Danio rerio: one gene and its partners. The protein of the gene in region 2 binds, or shares a complex with, the protein of the main gene of each other region. Links are inferred from orthologs where the notes say so. Each region holds a gene or a part of one and is shown on either strand. Other genes may lie near its edges.

Region 1 (10,641 bases), on a different chromosome or scaffold from region 2:
AATATTTGTACTGATATAGTGTTTTTTTCACAATAAACAATTTAAACATAAAAATTATAACTTATAATTCAGACTCAACACAGCATATACTTGCAATGTGAATATATTTGAATGATCACATTGCGATATCGATGCTGAAACTACATATTGTGCAGCCCTACTGAACAGCGACATAATTTGCATTCATCTGGAGCTTTCAGTTAGTTACCATCCCATAAATGGATCAACGATTTTTTTCTCATCAAATCTTGACTAATCAAATGCTCTCTAGTATCTGACATGTCCCGCCCCCTTCAAGACGCTTCTCATTTGATGCTCTTGAGCTAAACCACTCCCACTGGCAGGGCTGTGATAAAACAAAACACTATTGGCTGTTTTTTTAAGAAGGGGACTGGGTTCTCTGTGCCCCACATTGTCTTCATTTTTCAAAACATCCAATAAAAAATGCACATTTAAAAGCATTCCATGGGACCTTTAAAGCACCATTTAAAAAGGTTGTTCAGCCCAAAAATGAAAATTGAGATCATTTACTCATCCTCCACTTGGTCCATATCTGTTTGAGTTGGTTTCTTTTGTTGAACACAAAGGAAGATATTCTGAAGAATACTAGAAAAAACAACAACCATGATTTCCTTATTTTGTTCCTACTATAGATGTCAATGGCTTCTTTTCTACAACATTCTTCAGTATATCTTGTTTTGTGTTTATCAGAATAAAGAACTAACAAAAAATTAGAACCACTTGAGTGAGTAAATGATAAGGATATTGTAACTGAATGGGTGAACTATCACTTTAATCACATTTTACCTTCTCTTAGGTTATGAGATCACTTTCAGTCTGTTAAACCCCGACCCGAAGTCACACAGTCTTCACTGGGATATCGAGGGTGCTCTTCATAGCTACATTCAGCCGTTATTGAACAAACTCGCTCCTATTGCCAACTTTTCAGTGGATTCTCAGGTAACAACAAGACTGTAGTTTTTGTGGGAACCTACAAATGACATTAAATTACTTTATGGTTGGCTCATATGTTGTTATTTAGCAGTAGAAACTTCAGTGTACTGTAGTGTTTATAGCACTGTATATTTGCATGGCTGTTAAAGCTGCTTTGATTGTTTTTTTTACCTGCTTGAGACCAATAAAGAAACATGGAGTAATGCTAAAATGTAGAGCAGGAGTATATTTATTTAAAGAATACAGGCTATATTCATTCTGTCTTGATTTAGGGTCAGATTTCTTCACTTTTCTAATGTTAGTAGAGTATTTGTGTTTGTTTAAACCAGTGGTCACCAAACTTGTTCCTGGAGGGCCGGTGTCCTGCAGATTTTAGCTCCAACCCTAATCAAACACACCTAAACAAGCTAATCAAGGTCTTACTAGGTATACTTGAAACATGCAGGCAGGTGTGTTGAGGCGAGTTGGTGCTTAACCCTGCAGGGACACCGGCCCTCCAGGAACGAGATTGGTGACCCCTGGTTTAAACTAATTTCAGTCTGTGTATGCAGAGCTCAGCATATATAAGTACACCCCATTTGAAAATGAATATTTTATCCATTTCTCAGTAAATATAGGCAGTGTATTTTGCTGCATTTAAACAAAACTGATTTATTCAACAGATATATTTATTAAAATAATATTTTGGTCACAAAACAACTTTAGAAACGGAAAGATAATGAAATTAAATTAATCTGAAATTTTGGAAAAATAAATTACAAACTGCAAAATTTGAACAAAATAATTTTTTGTTTCTCTAGATTTTTTTTTTTTCCTTTGCTATTTTTGAAAATGTTTTTTTTTCTATATTTTTCTGTAACATAAATTTGTGCTACTAATTTTTGTGTAAGTTATTTTGTTACATAAGCTCCAAATTTGGCTTCAGTACAAATTTTATGTTCATGCACAAATATAATATTGTAATGTTTTCTATAAAAAAAATATTCATTTAAATGAGAGATTTGTGAGGGGTGTAAATGTGTTTTTTATGTATTAAGTAGTCTTTATATATTAATTATGAAACTTTTTTGCACAAAGACTATTTTGGTGTGCATTATTGAATGTTCATGTAAAGTAATATTATAATAAAAAAAAATATATATGTTAAATATGAATGATTTATTGGCGAAGCAGTGGCGCAGTAGGTAGTGCTGTAGCCTCACAGCAAGATGGTCTCTGGGTCGCTGGTTCGAGCCTCAGCTCAGTTGGCGTTTCTGTGTGGAGTTTGCATGTTCTCAATGCGTTCACGTGGGTTTCCTCCGGGTGCTCCGGTTTCCCCCACAGTCCAAAGACATGCGGTACAGGTGAATTGGGTAGGCTAAATTGTCCGTAGTGTATGAGTGTGTGTGTGTGTCTGGATGTTTCCCAGAAATGGGTTGCGGCTAGAAGGGCATCCGCTGCGTAAAAACTTGCTGGATAAGTTGGCGGTTCATTCTGCTGTGGTGACCCCGGATTAATAAAGGGACTGAGCTGACAAGAAAATGAATGAATGAAAAAATTATTTATTATAATAACTTTTTTTTTTTGCATTTAAATTACTTTATAAATTTAAATTAGTTTATTCAACTTATAGTTACCCATAAAGATGTTTTGTGTGGTCATTAATATTTTGTAGATTTTTTTTTTTTACTGTCACAGTTTTTATAGAACCTGAAAGAAGAATCTGAAACACACACAAGCTGTATTTATTTGCTCAAAAAATACAGTGAAAACAGTAATATTGTGAAATATTATTGGAACTTTTCAAATGAATGTATAATAATAAACAAAACAATTTATATGTAAAACATGGTCATCAAAAAGCATTTCTTGAAATGATCATCATCAGTGTTGAATAGGATTGCACAATTTTGTAGTGATTTGTTTTTTAACTATGATAGACTAATTATAATAATCCTAGGGTGAACTTCAATAATAATAATAATAATGCTCTAAAATACTGTTCAAATAAATGTGGTCAAGGTGGTAATCAAAGAACAGATTCCTGAAAGAAAAAGATTCGTTTTTAACATTGATAATAATCAAGTAATAAAAATTACTTTAATTCAATTAAATAGTTTATGAAAAATCATGTGAGATTAAACTGACAGATCAGCTTTCAACCACAGGAAAAAAACTATTTTAAAATGTTTAGATAGACATTTTTTATTATTACATTGTTTAATCAAATAACCTTTATAACATTTGTAATTATTTTTTTAGATTCTGTATTATGCAGTTCTGGGAGTGAATCCTCGTTTTGATAACAGTGTGTCGGCCTATACACTGAATGCGGACAGCCTTTCTCATGTCATCAATCCCGTGGAGGCCAGACTAGGTGAAATATGATTCTTTTAATTGACATGAACTGATCTAAGGAAATATTTCTATTCTTATTTAATTTGACACACATTGCTATCGTCTTTCACACAGGATCTAACGCTGCTTCCTCAAACCCCGTCCTAAACTTCCTGCTGTATGTGCCAGATGCCCATCACTCTCCTCTGTTCATCAGAGACCACAGCAGAAGAGAGGTGCCCACCAATGCCTTTCACAGCCCGCGCTGGGGCGGCATCATGGTACTGTTCTAAGATTTACCTTTTTGGGGGGGGGCTACATGATGTATTGAATATTTTCCACATTATGGCTTAAGAATGAATGGGTTCAAATTCAGAAATACCTAGAAAATGTAAGGTTCTATATGACTTTTTGTTAAATTGGAGATGTAAATATTATCATTACTATATATTTATTATTTTTTATTAGGGCTGTCAAAATTAACGTGTTAACGCACATGATTAATTTAAATTGTTTAACGCGATAAAAAAAAGTCAAAGTTTTTATTTCAAGTTGTGGCCGACGTGTGTTTCACGTGCAAAGAAATATGGATAAGACCGAGGAAGCGCTTTTAGAATTAAAGTTTCGTATAAAACAATTAATGCCGCATCACCAGGCTATCCAGCGTTTCCTCCAGAGTTTCATTTTTAATCTTTAGACTTTAACTGCAGTTCAGCAGTTCACTTTCATTCAGCAACATATTGTCCATGCCCCGTGGCAATTACTGAATGAAAATATGAAGTAAGCGCTGCTGGAAGAGTGCTATTTGATAGAATTTGATACCGCATGGCGAACGGAAAGAAAAATCTCTGCATTTCGAGACTCGGGTGGTCCTTTAAGGTAATCAAAAAAATCGCTGCTTACATGCTAGACTCTTAATCAGAGTATTATCTTAATCATAATACATCGGAGTATTTATGTCCATGTAAATGTACTTCGTGAAAGTGCCATATGATGTTGCAAGTTGTCAAAGACAGCCCATTTCTCTGCCTTTAAGTTGATTCCATGCGCCCTCAAATGTTTCATTAGGTTTGCCGTGTTTCCCCACCACACACAACATTTGTAAAGCATCTGCTTCACGTTGCTGTGTCAGAATCTTTGCTTTTAAAATACAGCCTTACTTTAGAACGCTTAGTTTAAGCAAATTTGATGAATGCGATCGTGCGTGTTGATGAATCTGAAGGGAGTCACTCACCGGGTGCGCATGTTGTCTGTGTGTGTGTGTGTGCAATTCCTTGCAACAAGAGGAAACGCCTGACATCGCTGACTGTGTCGAAAGTCTCTTTAAGGCATTCTACATGTATTCTGTAGTGTTTGCTGTGTCCGCATCCCTTAAAGCTGTTTAGAATTAAATGTTTAGAGATGTTGAGATCAAAGTCCCTGTAAGAAGTCTATAAGCTTTGGTACGTGCCGGTTGATGTATCCCCTGACCACATTGTCTCCTGATAATGTCAACAGACTGTACTACCTTAGCAACTGGCTAAATGTTCAGGAGGACTAAGCAAAATTGTTTCTACTTTATAAATAACGTTCTCAACTCATAATACAACTTTACAATGAGTACAATTGTTTGTGTTCAATACTTTATCATTATTATAATTTTCTATTTTTCCATATCTTCAATGCCTGTATTTTGGATTTTTTTTATAATCCTCTTAGAATCCATCTTGGAAATCATTTTTGTTTGTTATTGGCACTGATTGTTTTGAAATTCAAATGGCACTTACATGCCTGTGTTTTTATTTTTGTAATAAATATGGCGTTTTGCGATTTTAATCATGATTAATCACAAAAATAGTGATTAATTAGATTTTTTTTATCAATTGACAGCCCTATTTTATATATTTATTAATAAATACAATTAATCATAATATGTATATTATTTTATAGACCTATTAATTCTGGTCAAAAACAGCGTGAAAGTGGAAACGTAAAGACTTTTAAAATCTTTTAAACTCTCTTCCCGTCATGGTTTATTGGGTAAATCCAAGTATGAACACCTTTTTTTTAAAACACCACGCATTTTTTTTCTCCACAAATCACTTAGTCCTCAGCATTTCTAAAAGCTTTAAGTATGTTGTAAACTGGTAGCCACTGACTGGCTTTTATATGGATTTGAGTAGATTTGAATGTGATGTTTTTATTTAATTTTCAAATAGCCCTGTTTTTTTTTATTTTGTTTTATTATTATTTTTGCGTCCTACACAAGTCTAGGGGAATACAATGAACGCAACAATATTGGTTTTATTTAAAGAGCACAAAACTGGTACCAGTCACAACACAACTACGGGTAAAAAGATCAAAAAAACTATTTACAAAAAATTTCAGTCACGCACAATGTAGTTTAAGGAAGCTCTAGCTTCAGGAGGGAAATAAGGCCAAAATAATAAACAAAAACGGGGTTCTGTCTGGGTGTAAAACCTCTAAATAAACTTCAAGACAATGATGAAAATTAACAGCAAAACTACACTGACTCCCTGACTGACCTCAAAACAGGAGAAAAAGGGAAAGGTCATCCAGCTCCTTACTGCTTCCTGGAGGAAAAGGCAAAATAAAGAAAAAAAGTTTAAATCGTAGTTCTGCTCTTAGCCACAACAGAGAAGAAGTACAAATCATCAACAAGTCAGATTTTAAATCACAAAAGTTCAACTTTCCAACAGTTCACAACAACTTTAATTTAACTGAAACTCAGCCAGTGCTCTGGAGAATGGTTCCTCTCTCGCTCCATTCTCAACATCCAATTGTTTGGCCTGTGTTTTAATCCCCTCTCACTCCTCCATGGTAAGTGAACACAGCTGTGGGAAGCAATCAGCAAACTGCTTGAAGCTCCGGCCCCGTTTACACTTATGCATTTTAAAACACATAAGTTTTGCCAGTTACGCCATCTATTAACACTACGTCAGAGTTTTCGAGCGCCGAAACCGGAGCATTTTGGAAACGCTGAAGAGGCCGTTTTCATCCTAAAACACTGCTGCTCTGTCTCAGTGTGGATGGGGGAAAACAGAGACATCTGAAAACGGAGGCTGGGCTGCCGACATTCGCCTACCTGATTGGGGGTTTTCATCAATATTAAGTAGTCTAACGTTACACACAGTTCAGTCCTGCATCCTCTTCTTGTAAGTTCAGACTTTGCCAGTTTGATATGGAAAACAGACTCCTGAGGACACGGGTAAATCTTCAAAGGGGAACAGTGTACTTTATAACCTTCACATCAACCTGTCTACGTTGTTTCAATTTCTCAACAATAAAATGAAAACTTGATATAAGCAACTGCCTGTTTTCATTTTGATATTAACAACTTAGCAGAAATGCTGAGGTGTTGTGCAGCATAAATGAGCGTCATTTTCACTTAATGCATATTTATAACCAAACGGAGCCTATAACAACTGCCTCCTTTCATTTTCAGTGAAAATAAGACACATACCCTCTCTTCTGCTGAATATCAGTTTTAATAATCGATAACGGCCATTATAAAAGTATAACATACAATAAGTTTATACATTATAGGAAATAAAGGCAAGTGATCAGTCAATATACAGAAACTGTACGTGGTTACATTAATTATGTACTTATCTTTGGGCTCAGCCAAAACACGTTACCTGAGAACAAGTAATAGATTCAAAAGACCAAAGTCTGGGAATACGTCGTTAGATAAAGACAACAAGATGAATGAAATATCGCATTTAAGAAAAATATTGGGATTAGATCCAGCGGGAGATGCATGATGAGCAGTCTGAAGAGCACAGCTTTCATCTGGGTAGATGGGCTGCAGCGAATGCCCGAGTGTGTGTGTGGTCTCATGATGTGCGTTTCAGTTGTTTTGGTGTGGATGGAGAGCTGTTCAGAAATGCTGGGTGAAACGCTAGTGTGGATTACGGGTCGTTTTCATTCTAAAACGCTGTTTTTAAACTAAAACACACTAGTGTAAACCGGGCCTCAGGAGGGGAGGCATCAAGGCAAAAAAGAAGTGGGAGAAAGACATTTGACACAATATAAACACACAGAGTTTGGACGATACATCTCTAAACGTAACATTATTTTGTAAATTGTTCCATGTGAAATATTAATGTTGCAAACAGCCCTGTATTCATCTCAATCTTTAGGTGTACAACGTGAATGATCTGTACGGCCCTGAATCTGAACGTCCTGTCGATATCAGCATTAACATGGCTAAAGTGATGGGTGTTTTCCTGGCACAGTTACGGTTAGTTCTTGACCGTCTGACTTCACAAATGCCTGCTTTGCCCAAATGAACGTGTTTCAAGTCATCCCTCATTTGGTGTTTTCAGGCTCATGTTGGGTGTCCACCAAACTCATCCTCCATCAGGCTTCGTTCTTCAGAGTCCTGGCAGCGCTGGACTGGCCGACTGGGAGCTGGACAGGCTGATGTGGAGCCGCAGCGTGGAGAACATTGCCACTGCCAGCACCACCATCACCTCTCTGGCTCAGCTGCTCGACCAGATTGGAAATATCGTCATTAATGACAACATCGCACTGCAGGTGGGAGCTCTGCATCTTTATATTTTCATAGCACCAATATTGGTATATTCCAAACAACGCAATATCACTTTTCCACAGTTTTGTGATGCCTTCTGCTTACTCGCACGGTCATACAAGGGGTTGTTATGGTGCTATGGCGCCCCTGACGCCGGATATCTGTGTTCGTCGTCCTCTGTTTGAAACAAAGCACAGGTGCACTTGAGATGTATGTCAGGAGCACGACACCCATAGAAAGCACATCACACTTATAAATGCCCTCCTTATACTGACACTGAGGACTTTTTTAAAGCCATTCCTGTATATGGAGTATGAGGGAGCTCTCAGATTTTGTCTAAAATATCTTAATTTGTGTTCTGAAAATTAACAAATGTCTGAAGTGTTTGAATTAATGTGAGGGTGAGTAATTCATTAATAGCAGTATTTTCATTTTTCATTCATTCATTCATTTTCTTGTCAGCTCAGTCCCTTTATTAATCCTGGGTCGCCACAGCGGAATGAACCGCCAACTTATCCAGCAAGTTTTTATGCAACAGATGCCCTTCTAGCTGCAACCCATCTCTGGGAAACATCCACACACACATTCACACACACACTCATACACTACGGACAATTTAGCCTACCCAATTCACCTGTACCGCATGTCTTTGGACTGTGGGGGAAACCGGAGCACCCGGAGGAAACCCACGCGAATGCAGTGAGAACATGCAAACTCCACACAGAAACGCCAACTGAGCCGAGGCTCGAACCAGCGACCTTCTTGCTGTGAGGCAACAGCACTACCTACTGCTCCACTGCTTCGCCCGAATTTTCATTTTTGGTTGAACTAATCCTATAAAGGTGAGCTACCTTTATGGTATCTGAAAACACAGGACGGGTGCAACTAAACTAAAACTTAGCCGGCCATGCCAGCTAATCCAGCTTCATAGCACAGGACCCAGTTGTAAAAATCCACACATTGAGACTTGTTTAAGATGATGAACTCCAGCAAATGAGCAGTGCAGCTTTCATTTAAATTTTAATATTTGAGCATGTCTTAAGATTTCTCTTTTACCAGTTTTAGCAGTTAGATGATCTCCGGGACTGGTGGGGAGCACTTTCATCTTGGCTCAGCATAGGAGATTTTCAGGTGCTGCCTAAATCATTAGAGATGTTTGTGAAAGACGATTCAGTACTGCTATCTTCAGGCACCACATAATATCATTGTGCCTGCTGCAGCTTAGTGCACAGTGTAAATATAAAAGAGTCTAAAAAGTTTAAACGGGGAAAATTATAAAAAAATCTTTGCTCATTTTTGAGTGAGATGCTTATGGTCTAATCCAGTGGTTCTCAAATCTTTTTCATCAAGTACCACCTCAGAAAGAAATTGTCTCTCCAAGTACCACCATGAGCAGTATTAAAATACAGTAGCCCAGTAGGCCCAATAAAGCAGCTACAGCTCTGCACAGTTCAAAAATGTGGCAGATTAATTCCTATTATTAAGAATATTTATTATTGTCAGCCACTTTAAACATTATAAATAGTCTGATTAACATCGAATGTGCTTATATGTAAAATACAAACAAACAAAAAACCTAAAAACGTCAACATAAAAATTAAATTGTGCTTTTAAAAGTTAAAATTGGTAGGTTACTGTACTTAAAAAGTAAAAAAAAAAAACTGCTGTACTTAAATGTACAGTACATTACATATAGTAGCCAATATAGTAGCCAATTCATCAACACCTGGAAATATTGCCTGGACCTTAGAAATATATGCTCTGTCATCATATTCATATGTAATTCATTTTTAATACATTTTGAAATATATGTAGCATGTACATATGACATAATTCAGGGCTCGAAATTAACCTTTTTGCTTGGTAACACCGGTGCTCCTAACTTAAATTTAGGCGCATCAGCCAAAATTTAGTCGCACCCACCAATTATGAGCACCGTTACTACAAGTTTTATACAAACATATTTATTGTATTTGAAATCAACACTAATCAAACTAACAAGCAAAAAAAAAAATCATATATAACGTTATATGCAAGCGTGAGGAAAATATGTCTCAACAAAATCCCGTTATCACAAGAAAATTAATTTTTATAACATAACTGAGTGACCAAAGCATACACGGAGCGCTCACCGGCCCTGCACGCACCGCTTGAATTAACGTGTTAACGGTATAACTAGTAAGATGTGTCATTATTTGTAACTGTAGATGCCATGGTTTCTAAAACAAAATCTGTCAAGTGTTATGTTATCTTCATTCTCATCTTCAGCGCTTTACAATTTTTCGCGGTAGTAGCTCTCTGTCATCAGAACCACATATTAACCACCATATTAACCAATTATTCGCGTTCAGTGCTAGAGCAGTGGTGGGCCAATAAGAAGAGCGCGAAGGCGGGCAAGCATTACGGACTTGGATTTGTTTACTGCAGCAAGTTGACATGACAACTGTTTTAAACCATTCCTGAGCGCTGCGTTTCGCATTTCAAGTGCAGACAAAGAGCTAAGAGATGCATTCTGCATGAATGTCTCCCGAATCCGTGCATGTGCTGAACATTTTGCAGTAAAAATTGGTCGCACACTACAATTTTAAGCACTCGCAGAAATGCTCCCAAATATTCTTCAAGGTCGCATAGATAAAATTTCGGGCGCATATGCCACCAAAATGGTCGCAATTTCGAGCCCTGTAATTGATTCCTCCGCGTACCACTAGAAGGAAGCCTGCATACCACTAGTGGTACATGTACCACAGTTTGAGAACCACTGGTCTAATCCAATTCAATGACTTATGCTAAGCTAAGCTAAAAGTGCTCCACCAGACTAGGAGATCAGCTGAATGGAT
Region 2 (10,641 bases):
TAAATTCTTATTTTCCACAGAGCAAAATAAATTATTTACCCATATAGTGGAGTAGTAGACGGGCAAAAACAAAAATATAATTCGTATATTTTTTTCTTGGAAAATTTCTTTTTGAAACTTATTTAGTTTCAAAGTAATTAGGTAATTTTTATCTTAATTTGAATGTATCCTTTGTTGGTCAGTTATCAATAAACAAGAATAACAAATAACAACTGAGGTGATGCACTTCAAAAGATGTCTGCTATATGAGCCAGAACATGAATTGCTGTGAGATTGCGCTGGTTTGTTAAAAAAAATAAAAAACTAGCCTAAATAAAATCAAAGATAAATATTTCATTTATATGATGACAAAATATGTATATGACTATTAATGACAAATATTTGAATAAGCAAGAAATGCTTTTGCAATGTTTTCGCAGCACTGAACGTGTTTTCAGAATACTTCACAGGAACAAACTGTGTTGTAAAATGAACTAACTCAGAAACACCTAGTGAGAATGGAGATGTCTGCATATTTGTGCCAGTCTGTCAGATAGAAAAAGAAGTTAAAGTTTGCAGAACCAATGATGTGACCCACCCATAAGTAAATATGCAGCCTATTTTTTGATTATCTGACCGGCACATCCCACTGATATACCCAAGAAATTATGTGCTCCTATTGCACAGTGTCACTCCCGTGACGGAACTCATCATAAAGAACGAAAAAAATTAAACATGCTAGATTTTCAGCGATGGTGTTGTGAGGCGTCGCAGACATGGTTTCAGTTGTTGTGAACCATGCCACATTACACAAGAAGAAATTATTGAATATTGTATCACGACGCCCATTTGTCATTTACGAATCCCCATGACACCCTACATCAAGGAAATTGTGCCAAAGTCGTTACAAATTTGTGTGATCTGACCAGGCTTAAATTGATTTAGATTTTCTGAAAAATTGCGATTGTTGAAAGTATATATTTTCAGTTATGAATTAAACATTTACTTATGAACCCTGTTTAAAAGTTAAACCATTCATTTTGTGTTGTAATAAATAAATAGAAATAGAATAGAATAGATTCCCCATCAAATGTTTTTTCTTCCATCAAATAAAAATATCAGGCTACCTTAAATTAATCACTCTATGGAAAATGTATATTTAAAAATGTTCCGCTTAAATCTCCGTCAACATTTTTAATAGAAGTCATTAATTTAAAGATTATGTCTTGAGCTTCTGGTTACCTTAGAACTTGTGTGCTTTTTATTTCCTCTCTCACTCGCAGTTTATGTGTGTGATGAAAGACAATGACAAGGCGCATATGTAAAGTAGAGGCTACTATAGCATATAACAATTTTGTTGTTTACATATGATATTGCATTCATTTGCATACATGTCTTTATAGTTATAAACTAAAAGCCTCAGTTTGGTATGAAAAAAAGTTGGTTAGTTGGCTGTACACTAAAGCCTAGTTCACACTACAGGATTTTAAACATCGGCAGATTGCTGTGCCTTTCTTTCATGACTTGATTTTGTGTCTTTTAATCGCTGTGGTGTTCACACTACGCGACACTACGTGAATGATCCACAAGAGGGGGGTCACACACTACAGCTCATTCAAGCTACCAAACCACAGCCAATAAAATTTTGAGGGAGGAGTCTTCAGACCAAGCTGAGCATTATTAGCTGCTTGTGTGCTGATTACATCACTGACAGCGTTTCAAGCTTTCAAGGAAGCATTTAAAAACATCCCAGCTGATGCATCAGTGAATTATCAATCATCTGCAAGTTTTTTATTTTTGTAATTTTATAACTCTTTGAAATAAAACTAACATATCTATAACACCATGAGATTTTCTAAATATCAGTGTATTTCTTTCTAACATTGTTTTTTTTTTTAATTACAAAACAGTAAAGGACTGAGCATTTGTACCTTTAATTACCATATTGGTCAAAATGACTGCATGCATGTCTGATACTTTTTGCTGTGACTTTAAATATGTGTGCATTTTTTGCCTAGCAACTTCCTGCTAACATGAACAAATCTTTCTTATAGCAAAAACATCAATATACTTCAGATATCTTTCAAAACAGCATATTTTGTGCCACGAAATAGCTCCTGTTCGAAAGTGAAAATGAAAGCCAAGACCTTTGCGTGTTTTAGTATTTTAACTACATATTTATAGGCTGTATTACCAAAAAAAGATAATATTTTTAGGGTAATGGTGTCATTAAATATGATGCCAGACAATTAAAGCTTAATTTTATTATCTCAATAGAAGCTTTGAATGTAAATATGATGAGACAATATGACGTTTTATATGAGAACGGTCAGAATGACCAGTATGGTAATTCTAATAGTTACAGAATTCTAGTTTCACAGTTAATATACCCTACTCTCATGTCTGTGTTAACGCAGAATGAAGCGAGTGCACCGATGCCCATTCTGACCAATCACAGATGTTTCTGTTGAGCTCCTGAGCACACAGGCATTCAGCTCATGTTGATATCCTCTCTCATTGGCTGCAGCTCATCACTACATCTGACCACATGTGGGGTTGAGTCGGCCGACTGCTCTGAAATATTCAGCATGCTAAATATTGGATTTCCGTCTGCGAGGTGTTGGCGACGCGTCAGCGAGCCTCGTTGATGTGTTGTTCAGTAGTTCACACAAAGACTGGCGAGCGCCGTGCACCCGCAGAAATTTTCCCAATCCCAGCCTGATCCATCGGCAAGCTCGTTAACTTCCAAATCAGGCTTAAAATCCTGTAGTGTGAACTAGGCTTAAATTAGCACAACTATAGTCTATTTGTTGTGTTTATGAAAGGAGCGTGCTCTGATGGAGAGAAAATTTTGATCCTCCGACTTATGGCCGGCTTGTTTCCAAAGCAGAGCACATTTCAGAAAGTTTTGTTTTGTGGCTTCTTTCTTCAATTGCGCAAATAAACAGAAGTGTTTATAACGTGGATCCAGGAAAGAGGCAAGCAGCATCAGCGCTGGTTTGGCATCAACTTATCTGTGTCAGACTGTGACCAGCAATATTCTTCTTTCATTTCGCTTCTTTGGCAAAATATGTCTGTAGACACGTGTTACCATCCCCCAAGCGAACAAATATGTGTTGCACATTTATGCAGCCAATTATAAAAAAACAATAATACAGTTTTTTTTTATTATTTAACTGATACGGTAAATCAGTTAAAAACACTCTTTCGGTTAAGAGTGAATCGGTTATTATGAGCATCCCTAAATTCTACACAAAGCCCCATTAAAAAGCATACTTTAGGTTAAAAAAACAATACCTATAAAAGGTAAAATTGTGTGTGAAAATACCAACTAATACCATTTTAAAATGTTTTATGACATAAAATGAAAATGTAAATGAAATGATAATATGAAAATGTTTAAGTGCACGAATTTGGAAGAAAAAGTGTCTATTTATTTCATACTTCTGTCACAACAGGCTAGTTTATACTTACAAACTGCTAAACAATGGCTGGTCCAGCGTGAAGTTGGTGTTCATTGCAACCATACTTGGCACAAGGGCACTGACCACAGAAGATCTGTAATAACACATAAATCAGATGTAGACACTGCAAAGTCCATACATTTCAAAATATGACAGGAGTCTTACCCGACGTAGAAGCCATGGTTGGGATCAGGGGTGTATTCAGTCCATTTGAGCAGAGCCCTATCAAACTGCACCGTGATCTCTGTCATGGAGTGGGGGGGCAGCTGAATCAACATCTCCAGCAGATGAGGACGGTGGCGGTCTTTAGCCGGCTGGTAGTGAATGTAGCCTACAGGAGAAAGCATGAAATGTTAGTTCTGTTAACTTTACCATGGATGTAGTCTGATCTGATACAATTGAAGCATCTAATGATTCTTAGATTTTGTTGGTGTGTGTGTTTGGTTTAGTACTGGAAATCTAATTTAGAACAGTTATATAAATATTGTATAATATTTTGCACATTACATATTATAGTAAATCTGAAAACTTCCCATAATCAAAGAACTGCCCTAAAAGCTATATCCACATACAAATCATATATATAACTTTGGCGTATCCAGTAAACAAAATGAACTCACTGGGCTTGTTTTCTCTGCTCTTGCTGGTGACTGTGAGCGTGTGAATGTACAGCTGCAGGTACCAGGGCACTGAATCCATCAGCAGTACAGGAAACGCCCGAAACGGGTGGTTATTGTAGATGACTGTGTGGATTTCTCCCGTCTGCAGCCCAAAACCAGACACATAGCGTTCTGCATGCAGCAGCGGACGCAGCATATCACCTAAAATGACAACCAACACAAGAAAAATTCACCTATTTAAGTGATGATAAATAAACACAGATGTGGATTTAAAGGTATCAATTCTGCAAATTATCTTTTTCGCAAAGGCCAATCAGAACCTGAAAGAATGATAAGGAGCCACAGGTAATAATTTAGTGTTTTCTCTATTTGTTTTTGACTTAAGTCCCAGTAGCATTGAATATTTAATGTTTGAATGTAATTTAATGTTTTATCTAAATCAGCATTATGTAATTTTTTGAACATAACCCTGCTGTTGTTTTTCAATTCGGTCACACTTAACAATAAGGTTTCATAAGTTAATTAATTTTCTAGCATAAACTAAGTATGAACAATACTTGTACAGAATTTATTAATCATAATGCAACATTTATGCATTATTAAAATCCAAATTTATGCTTTAATATGAGTTAATATTAATTAACAATGAACAACTGTATTTTTATCAACTAACTAACAAGAACAAGTTCTTTAATAAATTTATGGTTCAGTGTTTGTTTATGTTTGTAAATGTCTTAACTAACATTAACTAATGCAACCTTAATTGTAAAGTGTTACTAAATTCTGTACACACTGTACATTGGGTCAAAAATGTATGGAGCCAGATCAGTCTCAAAAAACAATACATTTACAAATACAATTCATAGATCTACAACAAAATTCACATTCACAAAATCTAATTTCTAAATTCAAAACCTGATTGGAAAATACACAAATCCAATTCGTAAACTTAAAACCTGATTAATAAATACACCAATTCAATTCATAAATTCAAAACACGATTCAAAAATACACAAATTCAATTCGTAAATTCAAAACACAATTCAAATATACACAAATTCAATTTGTAAATTCAAAACATGACTCATCACAAATCCAATTCGTAAATTTAAAACACAATTCATAAACACAAATCCAATTCGTAAATTCAAAACACGATTTGAAAATACACAAATCCAATTCGTAAATTCAAAACATGATTCCTAAGTACACAAATCCAATTAGTAAATTCAAAACATAATTCCTAAGTACACAAATCCAATTTGTAAATTTAAAACACGAATCTTAAACACAAATCCAATTCGTGAATTCAAAACACGATTTGAAAATACACAAATATAATTCATAAAATCAAAACATGATTCATAAGTACACAAATCCAATTGGTTCATTCAAAACACAAATCGAAAATACACAAATCCAATTCATACATTTCAAACATGATTCAAAAATACAAATTCAATTTGTAAATTCAAAACACGATTTAAAAATACACAAATTCAAATTGTAAATTCAAAACACAATTCAAAAATACATAAATCCAATTCAAAAATACATAAATCCAATTCGTAAATTCAAAACACGATTCAAAAAAACAAAAATTCTATTCGTAAATACAAAACATAATTCATCACAAATCCAATTTGTGAATTCAAAACATGATTTGAAAATACACAAATACAATTCATGAATTCAAAACTTGAATTATAAACAAATCAAATTCGTAAATTTAAAACACAAATGGAAAATACACAAATCCAATTCATGAATTCAAAACATGATTCAAAAATACACAAATTCTATTCATAAAATAAAAACATGATTCATCACATATCCAATTCGTAAATTTAAAACACAAATCATAAACACAAATCCAATTCGTAAATTCAAAACATGATTCGAAAATACACAAATCCATTTCAGAAATTCAAAAAATCATTCACAAATTCAATTTGTAAATTCAAAACATGTGTCACAAATATGGCTGACCACACACATAATTATTTTGCTTTTTATTTAACAAATGAGCCAACTTTTGCCCAGGGAAGACTCGAAACCTGATTCCATGGTATTTATGACCCAAAAGGAATGTGCCATGCAACACTGAACAAAGAGCGGTTCAGGACTTTTTTAAGCTCATTGCTGAAGACTGATATTTTAATGTAAACTTTACTCTCTCTTTGTGTGTAATCATGTGTTTTGCAATGTTTCCCTTGCTCCTGTATCAATATTATTGGTTTTAATACTTACTTGCTGTACTAATTAATTGTTGACATTTTATGTTAATACGAGTGCAACATATTAACATTTTAAGAGACTTTAACATTTCTGCCCCGATTTGCATAAAATTTGCCTATGCAAATTCCTCTGCCTCGGACAAAGCGCCATAAACCATGATGCAGAGAGGTTAGTTTCTAATTGGTCAACTTTCCATGGAGGGTGGATCCGAACCCGCCCTATAAAGCTTGGGACTAAAGTAACGCCCTCTCTCTGCTCTGAAACTCTCTGCTCTGAAACCTCTTCAACTCTCTGCAACTTCTTCAGAAAGCACTCTTCTCTCAATTCTCTTCTCTGAATCTGCAACGACCTAAGATCGAGACCTAAGCAGAGAAACCTCCAAGAAAGCAGGTGGAGACCTAGACGGAAAGGGTTAAATCGCACAGCTCGGACCTACACATCTAAGTTACTTTCTTTTCTTTATTTTCCATTGAGAGTCTACTTAAGTTGGTCAGTGGTCAGCACAACTGGTCCCTTTTGCCGCTTCAACTTCAAACACCTACTCATCCCACTCCAACCCTCGCGAGAAAAAGGAACCACGTAGCAGAACCACGTGCTCAGCCAAGGGAGCTTCTATACATCACATAGACAGACGCAAGTATCCACTTTTGTCTACATCTGAACTGGTGTGAACTAAATGCAAACCTAAAGAGACAACAGAAGGGTGAATTTGATTACGTTGGGTTTGCTCTTACAAACTCAGAGGTTTTCCATCATTACATTCTCTCAACCTCTCATTTTACCTTCTTTACTCTCCTCAACACTTGTATGAATGTGTGTTTGTGTTAGGTGTTAGTTTCTGTTAGATTAGTCAAAGTTTAATTTTGTATAAAGAAAGGTGTCTGTGTATATTTATGAATCGAATGTCTTAAACTTCAATCTTGTTACCCTGCTCAAACTTAATGGGTTTTTATTTTGATAGCATCGCTGGACGATTCATTTGTTCGGATCTAAAGAGACGATTTATTTGAAGCCCCGTTCAAATGAATCTCCCTCCTGTTAGGCTAATCCGCTATATATATGATGGTGCAGAAGATACGCGAGCACTGTAATCTAAATCATAACTCGCAACATTATAACGGTGGAAAAGGTGCGGGAAGATAAACCTTGAGCTAATTTATTACAGAAATAATGATGTAGATATGCGACCACTTTAATCTACATTATAATTTGTTACAGATTATTAATGTAGATATGCGTGCAAAGTTAATCTACATTATTATTCATTTGCTACATTGTTCAATGGTGGAGAATAAACGCAGCAAAATATTACACATGATTAATCACAAATCCAATTTGTAAATTTAAAACACGATTAGACAATACACAAATCTAATTCGTAAATTCAAAACACAAATTGAAAATACACGAATCCAAATAGTACATTTCAAACACGATTCAAAAATACACAAATTCAATTTGAAAATTCAAAACACGATTCAAAAATACACAAATTCAATTTGGAAATTCAAAACATGATTCATTACAAATCCAATTCATAAATTTAAAACACGAATCATAAACACAAATCCAATTCGTAAATTCAAAACACGATTTGAAAATACACAAATCCAATTTGTAAGTTCAAAACTCTATTAAAAAATACACAAATCCAATTCGGAAATTTAAATTACAATTCAAAACTAAACCAATTCTATTTGTAAATACAAAACACAAATTATAAACTAATCCAATATGTAAATTCAAAACACAATTCGAAAATACACAAATCCAATTCATAAATTCAAAACAGGAATCATAAACACAAATCTAATTTGTAAATTCAAAACACAATTCGAAAATACCAAAATCCTATTTGGAAATTTAAAACACGAATCATAAACAAAAAATTCAATTCGTAAATTCAAAACATGAATCATAAACACAAATCCAATTTATAAATTCAAAACATGATTCATAAGTACACAAATCCAATTAGTTAATTCAAAACACAAATCGAAAATACACAAATCCTACTCATAGATTCAAAATACGAATCATAAACATAAATCCAATTTGTAAATTCAACACATGATTTAAAAATACACAAATCCAATTTATAAATTCAAAACACAAATCATAAATATGCAACTCCAGTTCATTTGGTAAAAATAAATGGTTTTTACAAGTGAATTTACAAATTGTGTTTTCAGATTTACAAATTGGATTTTGTAAATGGGACTTGTGCTGTGCATCTATGAGTTTCATTTTGTAAATGTATTATTTCTGACACTGATCTGGCTCCATAAAAAATACCTGCCGTCACCAACCCTTTAAAATAAAGCAGCTTAATTTAATTTCAGTCCTAAATCCTCTTTTTCGTGGTTTTCACCTTTAATGGACAGGACAGTGGAGATTACAGACAGGAAAGTGTGGGGAATGGAGAAAGGGAAGGATCTGCAAAGGACCTTGAGCCAAGATCTCAGGTCGTTGTGAGCACCTCAGCATTATATGTCGTCGCTCTAATCACTAATCTATTGGTGTTGACTTCAATCCTCTATTTTGTGAGAAGACACAACCTCAAATTTATCAAAACAAACGTTGGGAATATCTAGGTTTTCCCTTTTTAGTTTGGAGTTTTTCATCCATGTTTAATCAGAACACAACACTCATTTTTAACTCAAGTAAAAGGGTATATTTTTCTAATGCTAAAAGTACCTGCAAAACGTTTAGGAAGACAGTATTCATAAAAGGTAAAACAGCAGATTCTCATTGTGTGTATGTTTGGGTGCATGTATGTGTAGGAGTATGCATGTGTTTGCTAGTACTTTTTGTGGTAGCTTATGGGTAGTATGACACGGAATCTGCGTGTGCAGAAATCTGCAAATTTCCACAGATTTTTAGCCCATCATTGAGCCTATTTATTTAGATGTGTAAATGTGTGTCAAATTATATTTATTTTGTTTTGTTGTATGTTTTGTCGTATTATTCATTTTAGTAATGTTATTGACTAATATGCAAAGTTCATTTGATTTATTTACAATACAGTTTGTCTTTTAGTAGATATACATTATATGAGAAACTTGCTTTGTTTACCAATTAAGTGGATCTAATTGGATTTGCACTGTAAATTTTAAATAAAAGTTAAAATGGGATTATTTTTATTTCATATATAAAGTTTTTAGCTTAGATACTTCCAAAATCATTCCATATAAATACGCAGATTTTTTTACTAAATTTTATTCAGGAACAGCAAAAAATGTCTGCACATTCTGTTTGGCCCTAGTAAAAATGTTGTAGCCTAAATGTGTGCAGCCATCATGAAAATAGAAAACTATTCTTATTTTTTTTTATGTTTGAGGTCATTTTACAAAAAAGTCACCAGATTTCTAAATAAAAAAACAGAAAAAAAACCTAAACAATGTTTTTTTTTTGTTTGTTTTAAAAATGGTGCCTGGGTCATTTTTTACACTTAAGTCAACAGGAGGGTAAACGTAACGTCTCTGAAATGATTACTGTGATAAAAAGACATTTAACTTGACGAATTCTGCTGTAAAGGCTTCCAGAACTGCCTCCAGAATAAAAAAAAGTAAAACCACCCAACTGCACCAAAGGCTGCAGATCTTGATGGTCAATTTTGATTTTGTGTCTGTATTCGATTTTTTTGATGACCTGCTTACATCAACTTAAAAGTGACTCGTATCTGATCGTCTGCATTTACACAGCACACGGCAAAGGCGCAATGACCAGGAAAAAAAAAGGTGAACGCTGACTAAACAGCAGATAATTGAAGAGTGCTCTTTTCTCTATTCCTGTGTGTGATCTGTTTGCAGCTTTTGACAAGCTGTTTTGACAGAAAGGTTTCCATTTGTCCATCTTCTTTTGATATATAGGCTTTTATAACCTATTAAGGCATCTTAATGTAATGTCTATGGGGTGATTTATGCACGTGATGCATGCACTAGTTTTATAATAGATTGTATTGGTTACGTGGCCGAAATTGCGCTCTCTCGCTCTGGTGAACATGCTTAAATACCTGTGCTATATGACAATGTAAAAGCTGTTTAAGTCCTCGGGTATGAGATTTAAAGTTTCGGACTCTGCTTAAGTCTGTTCTATAGTTTTAAATGACGCGCGACTCACATTGACAGGTGAAAATCCGATCTACCTGCATACACTGCAGACACGAGAACACAGATCTGATTTATTTCAGATAAATTTCCACATATGAACAAGGCCCGGATCTGATTTGAGTAAATCAGAATCCATATGATTTGTTCCTGCTTACACCTACATGGGCCATATCCGATCTGTGCCACATGGAAGAAAAAAATCATAATAAAGTCACTTGAACAGTGCAG
Region 3 (10,641 bases), on a different chromosome or scaffold from region 2:
AAACGAACAGGTCTATTAAATACAAAGCAATAAGCATAAATTCTAGGAGTTAAACATCAATCTTTAGGCTAATACTTCTTGTTTGAATCTGCTAAACAAGGGTTAACATATATGTACATTTATAGATATAAAAATTTCCAATGTAAAAAGCAAAACAAGGTGTTTTGATTAGGTCTTAATAAATGACATTATTTTGGATGATGAAAGCATTTTCAAAAAAGCATTTTAATCCAAAAAGATTGTGTTGAAAAGAACAAAAGGTAAAATAAGTGAGCTATGTAGAAGTTTCCCAGAAAGAGCAGGTAGCCTTTAAACTGCTAGACACGAAATAAAATAGATATTTATATTATAATAATAAAACCATTTTATAATTATTTAATAAAATAGTTATTTACTTTAATTTGTTCAGAGAGCTTTAGGGTGGCAGGATCAATGATGATGATTTTCTTATTTCAAGTCTGTAAGACTTATTTAGGTTATTCACTAATATACACACTAAAATATATCATTTAAATCGTTCATGAATGCAGTAAATAGTCTGTATAAAAAAGTTAAAAATAAACCTGTGCAAACAAGCTAACCTTTATAACCAGATTATTTAACAAAAGATGATACTGCAGTAAAATATTTGTAGTCTTTTAATTAGCAAGATGTGTACAGGATAGAGGGTGTGAAAAGTGAATTTTGTTTTGAAACTTTTGAATCGGAATTTGTCCAATTATAAACCCGAAATACACGTGTTTGTTGTCATGTGGTGAACTCGGCCAATCGTGTAATATCGGTGTCGTCATCAAAGCTCCTGCAGTCCCTCTTCAGAAGCTGCACGGTCTGAGTTTGCCGTCTGATCTCGGAGCGCTGTCGCGGTACTTTGATGCCACATGTGACAGTCACGTGGCGTCGTCGCAGCATCAATTCGGACAAGATTTCTAACCAGAATGCACCGCTTTAAGACAGATTTCGATTGATCTGCGCAGCGCTGCATGAAGTCGAACGCACCTAATGCGTACACCAACCCCACCCCTAACCCTACCCCCAGTGACATCACTCGAAGAAGTGCAAAAAAGGTGGAGCTCAAGCTCAAGCTCCCCCTCGCTGGAGCTCAGCTCGCCCAAATGGCTCTGCAGCGAGCACCACTTGTATATTTCTAAGGTCCAGGCAAATTTTCAAGTGTAGATGTATTGGCTATATTTGTTAGTACTTTACAAGAAACGATTAAAAACTCAACTATTTAGTCTCCACTTCACTTCCTAATCTGCAAATTGCCTCTCTGGACATACCACTAACTGTACTTAAATATAAAAAAATAACTAATACTTTCCTTCTTAGACTTTACAGACCTGAAACTCGCCTACAGCACTTGTTCATTGTTGCTCTTATAGTTGTGTAAATTGCTTCCTTGTCCTCATTTGTAAGTCGCTTTGGATAAAAGCGTCTGCTAAATGACTAAATGTAAATGTACAGCACTTTTCTTTTTACCTTAAGCACATTTTAATTTAAATGTGGCCGTTTTTAATTTGTTTTTTTTACATATAAGCACAGTGCAGTGTTAACGTTCAGCCTATTTCTGTTTAAAGCGGCTGACAATAATAAATATTCTTGATAATAGGAATTAATCTGCCACGTTTTTGAAGTGTGCAGAGCTTCAGCTGCTTTACTGGGCTTACTGCGCCACTGTGTTTCAATACTGCTCATTATGGTGGTACTTGGAGAGACTATTTTTTTTCTGAGGTGGTACTTGATGAAACAAGTTTGAGGATCACTGCCTTATAGAATCAAGAACTCAAGTAACAGAATAAATTATTAGGCACAGAGAAAGATGACAAACTGGCTGGAATTTGAAGGGAGAATTCACCCAAAACTGAACATTTCCTGTTTATTTACTCACCCGCACACAGATTGATTTAATTTTTGGGTGAACTATCCCTTTAATGACGTTTTGCCTGTATGATTGGTAATTTTTCTATTCCTTATTTTATATATACATATATATACATATATATATATATATATATATATATATATATATATATATATATATATATATATGTTTAACAGAGCAATGAAATGTTCACAGTATGTCTGATAATATTTTTTTTTCTGGAGAAAGTCTTACTTGTTTTATTTCGGCTAGAATAAAAGCAGTTATTAATTTTTTAAAAAACATTTTTGGGACAAAATTATTAGCCCCTTTAAGCTATTTTTTTCGATATTCTACACAGAACAAACCATCGTTATACAATAACATGCTAATTACCCTAACCTGCCTAGTTACCCTTATTAACCTAGTTAAGCCTTTAAATGTCACTTTAAGCTGTATAGAAGTGTCTTGAAGAATATATTGTCTAATATTATGTGCTGTCATCATGGCAAAGCTAAAATAAATCAGTTATTAGAAATAAGTTATTAAAACTATTATGTTTAGAAATGTGCAGAAACAATCTTCCCTCCATTAAACAAAAATTGGGGAAAAAAATAAACAGGGGCGCTAATAATTCAGGGGGGCTAATAATTCTGACTTTAACTGTATATATATATATATATATATACATACAGTTGAAATCAGAATTATTAGCCCCCCTGATTTTTTCACTTTTTCCTTGCTCTGTTAAACATCATTTGGGAAATATTTTAACAAAGAAAAAGATGTCAGAGAGGGGCGAATAATTCAAATATATATGATCTATTCCAGTGTGATGACCCTTGTATTGTACTTCAGAATTATGCAAATTATTGGACATATGTGTAACATAAACACACTTTAGTATAAATCCATCATATTAGTGTTATAGAATTATTTCATATGAAGAAGCTCCCTCTGACTTTAAATATATTACATTCAATATTTGATATGAAAAGTCATTTAAAAGTGCCAGACATTACCTTCCCCATCAAGGCCTTTTGTACGCTAGCCTAAAATGACCTTCTTTTCCTCAATTTCTTCTCTCTCTCTCTTTCCATTTCTCACATGCATTTTTTCTCTCATATTTTTCTTTCCTTCTTGCTTTTTTCTTTCTCTCTCTTTAACTCTCACTTTGTTGAATTCTTTTATTTGCTCATTTTCTCTTTCCTTTTCTCTTTTACCCCTTAATTTCTTTCTTTTCCTCTCTCCTCATTCTTCCTTTCCCTCTCATTTTCTTTCCTTTTTCTTTCAATCTTTCTTTCTCTTTTTCATTTCTTTTCTCTCTCTCTCTTTAATTCTTACTTTTTTCATTCGTTTTTCCTTATTTTCTTTCAATTTTTCTTTTTTCTCTCTCATTTTTTCTTGATCTTTTTCGTTCTTTTTCCTTTTAATTTTCTTTTTTCTTCACTTACTTTCCCCCAATTTCTATCTTTCATTCGTTCTTTGCTTTTCTCTCTTGATTTCTCTCTCTTTTCCCCCTCAGTTTAATTCTTATTTTTTCATTACTTTTCCCTCAGTCTTTCAATTTTTTCTCTTCTTTTTTCTCTTCTTTTTTCTCTCGATTTTTCTCTCTCTATCACTCTTACTTTTTTCATTCCTTTTCCTCTCATTTTCTTTCTTTTCTCTCTCTCTACCTATTTTCTTTTGCTTTTTTTCTTTCTCTTTTTCCCTTAGCTATTTTACTCTATCAGTTTCAATCTCTTCTTTCTTTCCTTCCTTTACATTCTCTTCCTTTTCTCCCCTCTCAATTTTTCTCTCTCATTCTTTTCTCGTTTGCTTTTTTCTCTTTTCCCCCACTCAATTCTCTCTCTCTCTCTTTTTATTCTCTTTACTTTCCTCTTTCTTTTCTTTCTCTCTTGCTTTCTTTCTCTGTCATTCACCGTTCAGTTCACTTAAACATCAACGTAAGCCATACAATTTTCCCTCAGGTTTGTCCATTCCTAATGAATGCTTTGTTAATATTATTAATATACGGGCACGTTAGCTTTGTGGACGCCCTTTTAGCTTCTAGCACATGAACAAATATGCAGCAGCAACTCAGACAACACGTTTAAAAGTTATTATTTAATGACAAACAATAATCAAATTATGCGATGAAGAAATTAAATCCAAAACAAGATGGCATTTTTAACATTTAAGTTCACAGACATATTAAATTACAAAGCCGAGATTTTAAATACATATAAAAAAATAAAAAAATAAAATAATTCAGGATATCAGGGTTCAAATGCCAAACTATGTGTAGTATTTTATAATATAATAATAATAATAATGTAATAAATGAACCAGTATGCCATATTATCAATTCATTTCTGAATAAATCTGCACGTTTCTCTTAAGCAAGTCTTTATTTCTGTCCTCACACATGCAGTCATGTTTGATAAAAGTCAAATAGTCATGTCAGAAAGACAAAGTCATGTATTATTATATTAATTATGCAAGAAATAAACCCTCCTGCAAACAGGAACGCTCAATACTCAAACTCTTACCAACAAAATCCTCTTTATTTGGGCCTGACGTCCTCTTACATCTTCATCCAGCAGCTCCTAATGGTAGACAATGCCTGTACACGGCAAGTAAATACTGTTCTTACCTGCAGTGTTTGTCTTGTTTCTAGTCTAAATATCTAAAAATGCATAAATTGAGAAGTATTTTCTTAGACAAATAATAAATATTGTCTTGTTTAAAGAAATAATGAGTTAAAAATAAGTGAGTTTTACTTAAAATAAGCAAAATAACCTGCCAATGGGGGGAGTAAAATAATCATGTTTTTCCTTGTGACATTATATTATTTTCCTCCCCGATATTCAGATTATTTTGCTTGCTTTAAGGAGAAACTCACTTAATTTTGACTCATTATTTCTCAAAACAAGACAATATTTTGTAGTTGTCAAGAAAACGCTTCTTAATTTGTGAATGTTCAGACATTTAGACTAGAAACCAGACCAAAACTCTAGGAAAGAAGGCAATTTTGCAGTGCAGAAAGACAACAAACCTTTAAGAGTCTGATCATTTTGGATCATTTTTGCTCTTTCACTTGTTTACTTCCAGAAGAGAATATTCCAGAACATCAGCCAGCAGGGATAAACGAACAGCGCTAAAAGCGGATAGACGAGCGACCCGTAGAGCGCGTGATCGAGGATTCCCTGAGAAATGACGGAGAGGAAGATCGTGAGTCCCTCAGGAAGGCTGACCGGCGCCTCCATCAGCTCCTGATAGATGAGGACGCAGTAGAAGATGGTGAACGCTGGACTGAGGAGCACCATGGCCAGAGCGCTCACAGATCTGACACACACAACAGGAGACGTGCAGATTAGAGATAGTACTGATCACTAATATTTTGATCAAAACTGTAAATGGTGATTGTCGATCCGAGTTGTAAGAGCAACAAATAATAACTCGACTTCTAGTTGATCACTTGGAGAAGTGTCAGAAGGTGGATTTCTCTGCTGGATCGTCTGCTGATCTGCATCCCAATCATCAACACTGCAGAAGACCTACTGGAACCAGCATGGACACAAGATTCTCACAGACATCAGTCAAGTTTGGTGAAGGAGAAATCATGGTTTGGGGTTCATTCAGTATGGAGAGATCTGCAGAGTGGATGATCAACATCAACAGCCTGAGGGATCAGGACATCTGTGCTGCCCATTACATTACAAACTACAGGAGAGGGACAATTCTCCAGCAGGACAGCACTCCTTCACATACTTCAGCCTCCACATCAAAGCTCCTGAAAGCAAAGAGTGCTCCGGGATTGGCCAGCCCAGTCACCAGACATGAACATTATTGAGCATGTCTGAGGTAAGATGGAGAAGGAGGCGTTGAAGATGAACACAAAGGATCTTGATGAACTCTGGAAGTCCTGCTGAACGCTTTCTTCTTCATTCCAGATGACTTTATTAATCAGTGATTTGAGTCATGTCAGAGATGTATGGATGCAGTCCTCCAAGCTCATGATGGAGTCAGACACAATATTCATTCTGTCTCCACTGCAGCAGGACTTTATATTCTATACTGGACATTATTTCTGTTCAGTGATGACACTTTAGTCTGAGCAGAGTCAGACCGCACTGTCCTCATCAAATCAGTCAACATCAAGACATGATCAGATTTTATTGTGATCAAACAAGCAAAATCTAGAGGCGTTCGCCTTTCATATAAACCACTTCTGACACCAAATCATCAACTAGAAGTCAAGTTAGTATTTGTTCTTCCTAAAACTTGGATAGGCGACAAGACTTTTGTCAGATAATGAATATATAAATATACACAGCTAGGTCCGTAAGTATTCGGACCGACACAATTCTAACATTCTGGTCTCTATACACCAACACAATGGATTTGAAATGAAATGAACAAGGTGTGCTTTAACTGCAGCTGTCAGCTTTAATTTGTGGGTATTTACATCTAAATCAGGTGATCGCAGTAGGAATTACAAGTTTGCATATGTGCCTCCCACTTGTTAAGGGACCAAAAGCAATTGAACAGAACAATAAGTCAAACTTTCACTTTTTAATACAAGGTTGCAAGTCCTTTGCAGTCAATTACAGCCTGAAGTCTGGAACACATAAACATCGGCAGACGCTGAGTTTCAGTTCTGTCAGTGCTCTGCCAGGCCTCTACAGCAACTGTCTTCAGTTCCTGCTTGTTCTTGAGGTATTTTCCCTTCAGCTTTGTCTTCAGCAAGTGAACAATATGCTCAATCGGACTCAGATCAGGTGATTGACTTGGCCATTGCACAGCATTCCACTTCTTTCCCTTCAAAAACACGCTTCACTGCTTAGGATCATGAGCAGTTCTCTTGCTTCACCATATTCCTCTCTTCTCATCACTGAATCATCACATACAAGTTGATCTTGATCTCATCTGTCCACAGGATGTTGTTCCAGCACTGTGAAGGCTTTTGTAGAACTCTAATCCGGCCTTCCTGTTTTTGAGGCTCACCAATGGTTTACATTTTGAGGTGAGCCCTCTGTATTCACTCTGGTGTAGTCTTCTCTTGACTGTTGACTCTAACACGCATACACTTACCTCCTGGAGAGTGTTCTTGATCTGGCCAACTGCTGTGAAGGGTGTTTTCTTCACCAGAGAAAGACTCTTTGGTTTTCGTTCACAGTTGTTTTTCATGGTCTTTTGGTGCTGCTGAGCTCACTGGTGCGTTCCTTCTTTATAAGAACGCTCCACACCGTTGTTGTGGCCACACCAGGGGCCTCATGTACGAAGACTTGCGTGGAAATCATACTAAAACATTGCGTACGCACAAAGCTTTAAATGTGCGTATTCAGAAAAAATTCAGATGTATGAAACGATGCGTACGCCGAATCTCACCCATATTCTTTTGTACATCTGAATGAACGTGAAACTGAGCGCAACATGCACGAGCGCAAAACCCCTCCCTGCCTCCTCCCCCGTATGAATATGCTAATGACTCTACTTTGGCAAAACCCAACGAAAACGCAACGGCAAAAGCAAGCAAGAAGAGAAACTTTGAACAGAATGTGAATTGAGGTGCTGCTTTCGGCGGTAGACCGGAGGAAAGCGGTGTTATTTGCACGTTTGTTCTCCGGAATTAACAACAAAAGAAAAAATAGAGTGGGAGAGTTTAGCTGATGTGGTTAACACAGTTGAGTCTGAACATCGCACTGAGTGCATTTAAAAAAGAAATAGTGTGATTTATAGGTGTACAATGTTGCTGTACCCTTAACAGTATCAGTGGCGCAGCTCGTAAAGCACATGTCAACATGTTTGGACACGTTCGAGCATGAACTCGGTTCGAATCCAGCGTCTGATGAACTCTTCTTTTTTCCCCCGCTACATATCAGATTTTGCCAACTATTTATCACGAGAAAGACAAGTAGGAATCATTAATAAGTCTGTGCATCATATTTTATTTGCACATTTATTGAATGGAAATATTTCTGATTCAAGCATGCAAATTCATCTTCAGATAGTGTCTTTATAGCGATGTGTGTGCAGTAGATAGCTCAGATTACATTGGGAAAACAGGCGACTGCTGCAAATTGTGCTTTAATGTTTAGCTGGTCAACTGTATGGTATGGAAATCTTACATACCTACTAGATGAACCCGTCACATACAGCTGCCATTGCATGGCTCTGACACTTTGTAGAGTGCAATTTAACACAACTGCCTCTAGGAGTCGCCAATGGAAATAAAACAGACACGCACAAAAAATGTGCGTACGCCTGCCATAAAGCTGCCGTGGAGCTGCGCACATTCCCACGTTCAGTTCATCGTTAGTAAATCCAAACGTGAGCCATTCTGAGCTTGAAACCTGGCGTACGCAAAGCTTTTGTGTTGATACATGAGGCCCCTGATGTTTTTGCCATCTCTCTGATGGGTTTGTTTTGCTTGTTCAGCCTAATGATAACTTGCTTGACTGATAGTGACAGCTCTTTGCATCTCATCTTGAGAGTGGACCGTAACCGATAGAACAGCTTAGAAGCCAACTGTCCAAGTACTGTTGGACCCTTAACAAGTGGGAGGCACATATGCAAACTGTTGTATTTCCTACAATGTTCACCTGACTTGGATGTAAATACCCTCAAATTAAAGCGGACAGCCGTTTCATTTCTGTTGGTGTATAAAGCCAAACATGTTCGAATTGTTTCGATGCGCAAATATTTATGCACCTAACTGTAAACTGCTATATAAGATTGCCGAGTCTTACTTGAGCATGTGTGGTGTGATGCTGGCAGTGACTGGCACCAGTGTGACGGCCAGGATGAAGCCCAGCGAGAAGTTAATGAGCGCAGTGCAGCCCAACAACACCGCTAGATAGAGCAAAGACGTCAGCTTGAGCACTTTCCAGCCCTGCTCCGTGCCCTCGCCAGACAACAACCTGCGCGCGCGCACACACAAAAGCAGGATACATGATGGCGGATAAAGATGGAGCACAGTTATAAACTGGTCATGACCTAAGTAAAACTAATTCTCTTCATCTGTTGACGTACGCTGCACAAAAATGCAGGGTTCCACACTATATGAGTTCATTTAACTTATTAATTTCATTAGTTTATCGTATAAATACTGTAGTTAAATACAATAAATACATGCCTGTAGTGGTCATGCATAATTAAGACTCAACATTGCGTATCCTGCGATGTGACTTGGAGATGCACACATTGCGATATTGATGCTGAATCACTACATTGTGCAGCCCTACCGCTGTGTGTTGTGTGGCAGTGCCAGGCCTGCAGTGTAGATGGCAAGAGCGGTCAGCACCACAGCTTCGGTCTCGGACACAGGGAAGTGCTCCACAGCCATGTCCTGCAGGTAAACAGGAAGTATATACAGCGCCACACCAGTCAGGTGACTGATCACGACTGGGGTCAACACGGACAACACCCCTGGACTGGACGGCTGTAAACAAACACAGAAAACAACGGTTGATGTCTTTGCACACGGAGCTGGCATATAGAGTATTAGCAGCATATTATAAACTTTGCAGAGCACTTCTCATGTGACTAGCTTCAGTGTAGACCAGGGGTGCACAAACTTTTTCATTTAACGGCCCACAAAACAAATATCATCATGAGCCATGGGCCGAAGGTAAATATACCAAACCATATTACATTAAAGTAGCCATGGCTATTTTCCTAATTCACTTCATAGTATTAAAAAATAAATACAAACATTACTTTAAATGGCATAAACTAATTCAGTATAGCTTTTAAAATGAGAACTTACTGCAATAAAAACATAAGAGTGAACAGTGGAGCTCAATGCTGAAAACACTAGTCAAGCAGAATCTGCCTTGGCCTAGATTTGCCTCTATCCGTCAGGTGCCAGTATGCAGATTTATAAACTAAATCTGATTAATTTACAGTGTTTAATTGAAACATTTAATTTTTAGTTAGCTTTTAACAATAAAAACAAACAAACAAAATGTTGCATTAGATATGAAATAATCTCTAAACCATCCCTATCAGACTTCCTCTCTTGTCAGATGGAATGAGAAGGGTATAAACGGAGGTCGAAGCCAGCTCCAAGTGGGTGGGACTTAAGCTCCAAGTGGGTGGGACTTGAGCTCTAAGTGGGTGGGCGTTCGAGATCCAAGTTTGCTGTGCAAACCTGGAGTTTTTATTTATTTAGTCATATTTAGAGTTCAATAATGTGCTTTATGAAATGTCTACACCTACTCCAACCCTAAACCCAACCTTACAGTAACCTGACGTGTTTTATTAGTGTCTGCGCCACCTACACCACTTAAATCCAACCTACTTGTGGTTTAAGTCCCTCCCACTTGGAGGTCACCCAACCTACTTGCGATGTAATCCCTCCCATATATACATATAATACTCTAGCACAGGACTCACCTGCTCGGCTTCACTGACTCCATCTACTTCTGACAGGACAGGAGCTCCCAGATGAACCCAGAGATCCAACGCCTGTAAGAAAGTTAAGGATTCTAACACATGATTATATTCTCATTTAAAGAAATATCATCACAAATTAAACTTTGCACAAAGAGATTTGTCGCATAATAATATGTACACATAAGAGGATCATCCAAATTTAAATAAATACTACAGTAAAGTGCTTGAATTATTCTGTTGTGGTGATTCTACAGTTGCTAGGGTAACAACAACTATAGTGATTGATCTGTTGTGGTGATTCTACAGTTGCTATGGTAACAACGACTATAGTGATTGATCTGTTGTGGCAACTCTAAAGTTGCTAGGGTAACAACAACTATAGTGATTGATCTGTTGTTGCG

What was found.
Region 1: the proteins of pigt (region 2) and pigs are in contact, whole or in part, in a cryo-EM structure (PDB 8IMY), measured with the Homo sapiens proteins. The link is inferred for Danio rerio from reciprocal best matches to the Homo sapiens genes PIGT and PIGS. Residues at the interface, in NP_057021.2 of Homo sapiens: Pro26, Arg27, Val63, Ser64, His65, Tyr66, Arg67, Lys71, Gln75, Lys79, Tyr80, Val133, Gly136, Lys191, Leu193, Pro194, Cys195, Ser196, Lys198, Ala199, Glu270, Pro271, Pro273, Leu274, Tyr526, Ile529, Cys530, Cys533, Val536, Ala537; in NP_149975.1 of Homo sapiens: Thr9, Glu12, Val13, Gly16, Ala19, Ala20, Phe23, Thr230, Pro238, Lys239, Tyr244, Ile247, Glu248, Val251, Gln256, Val270, Asp271, Ser272, Gln273, Ile274, Tyr276, Tyr277, Met279, Ser309, Arg310, Ser313, Ser314, Ala315, Ala316, Phe513.
Region 3: the proteins of pigt (region 2) and gpaa1 are in contact, whole or in part, in a cryo-EM structure (PDB 7W72), measured with the Homo sapiens proteins. The link is inferred for Danio rerio from reciprocal best matches to the Homo sapiens genes PIGT and GPAA1. Residues at the interface, in NP_057021.2 of Homo sapiens: Gln91, Gly92, Phe93, Arg95, Arg97, Tyr98, Ser108, Phe211, His212, Thr213, Ser214, Asp247, Phe249, Ile250, Arg340, Gln355, Tyr357, Val358, Ser359, Gly360, Tyr361, Gly362, Leu363, Leu371, Tyr373, Lys441, Asp459, Pro460, Asn461, His462; in NP_003792.1 of Homo sapiens: Arg97, Ser98, Val99, Gly100, Glu102, Tyr104, Arg134, Ala135, Pro136, Arg137, Ala138, Ala139, Ser140, Thr141, Glu142, Arg171, Gly172, Gln173, Ile174, Tyr199, His200, Asp201, Val202, Leu212, Gln213, Gly214, Arg215, Ala218, Arg311, Tyr312.

The regions. Positions count from the first base shown.
Region 1 is NC_133196.1:42,860,746-42,871,386, reverse strand, and holds part of pigs (GPI transamidase component PIG-S), read left to right. Parts: intron 1-817; coding exon 818-960; intron 961-3,195; coding exon 3,196-3,310; intron 3,311-3,405; coding exon 3,406-3,551; intron 3,552-7,412; coding exon 7,413-7,513; intron 7,514-7,598; coding exon 7,599-7,809; coding exon of another isoform or gene 7,810-7,989; exon of another isoform or gene 7,990-8,001; intron 8,002-8,116; exon of another isoform or gene 8,117-10,641. UniProt on the Homo sapiens protein: Component of the glycosylphosphatidylinositol-anchor (GPI-anchor) transamidase (GPI-T) complex that catalyzes the formation of the linkage between a proprotein and a GPI-anchor and participates in GPI anchored protein biosynthesis.
Region 2 is NC_133198.1:12,517,817-12,528,457, reverse strand, and holds part of pigt (GPI transamidase component PIG-T), read right to left. Parts: intron 4,265-10,641; coding exon 4,064-4,264; intron 3,775-4,063; coding exon 3,609-3,774; intron 3,538-3,608; coding exon 3,454-3,537; intron 1-3,453. UniProt on the Homo sapiens protein: Component of the glycosylphosphatidylinositol-anchor (GPI-anchor) transamidase (GPI-T) complex that catalyzes the formation of the linkage between a proprotein and a GPI-anchor and participates in GPI anchored protein biosynthesis.
Region 3 is NC_133177.1:1,624,526-1,635,166, forward strand, and holds the end of gpaa1 (glycosylphosphatidylinositol anchor attachment 1 protein), read right to left. Parts: intron 10,593-10,641; exon of another isoform or gene 10,313-10,592; coding exon 10,241-10,312; intron 9,285-10,240; coding exon 9,088-9,284; intron 8,764-9,087; coding exon 8,593-8,763; exon of another isoform or gene 8,234-8,592; intron 5,186-8,233; coding exon 4,942-5,185; 3' UTR 3,950-4,941; downstream 1-3,949. UniProt on the Homo sapiens protein: Component of the glycosylphosphatidylinositol-anchor (GPI-anchor) transamidase (GPI-T) complex that catalyzes the formation of the linkage between a proprotein and a GPI-anchor and participates in GPI anchored protein biosynthesis. Binds GPI-anchor.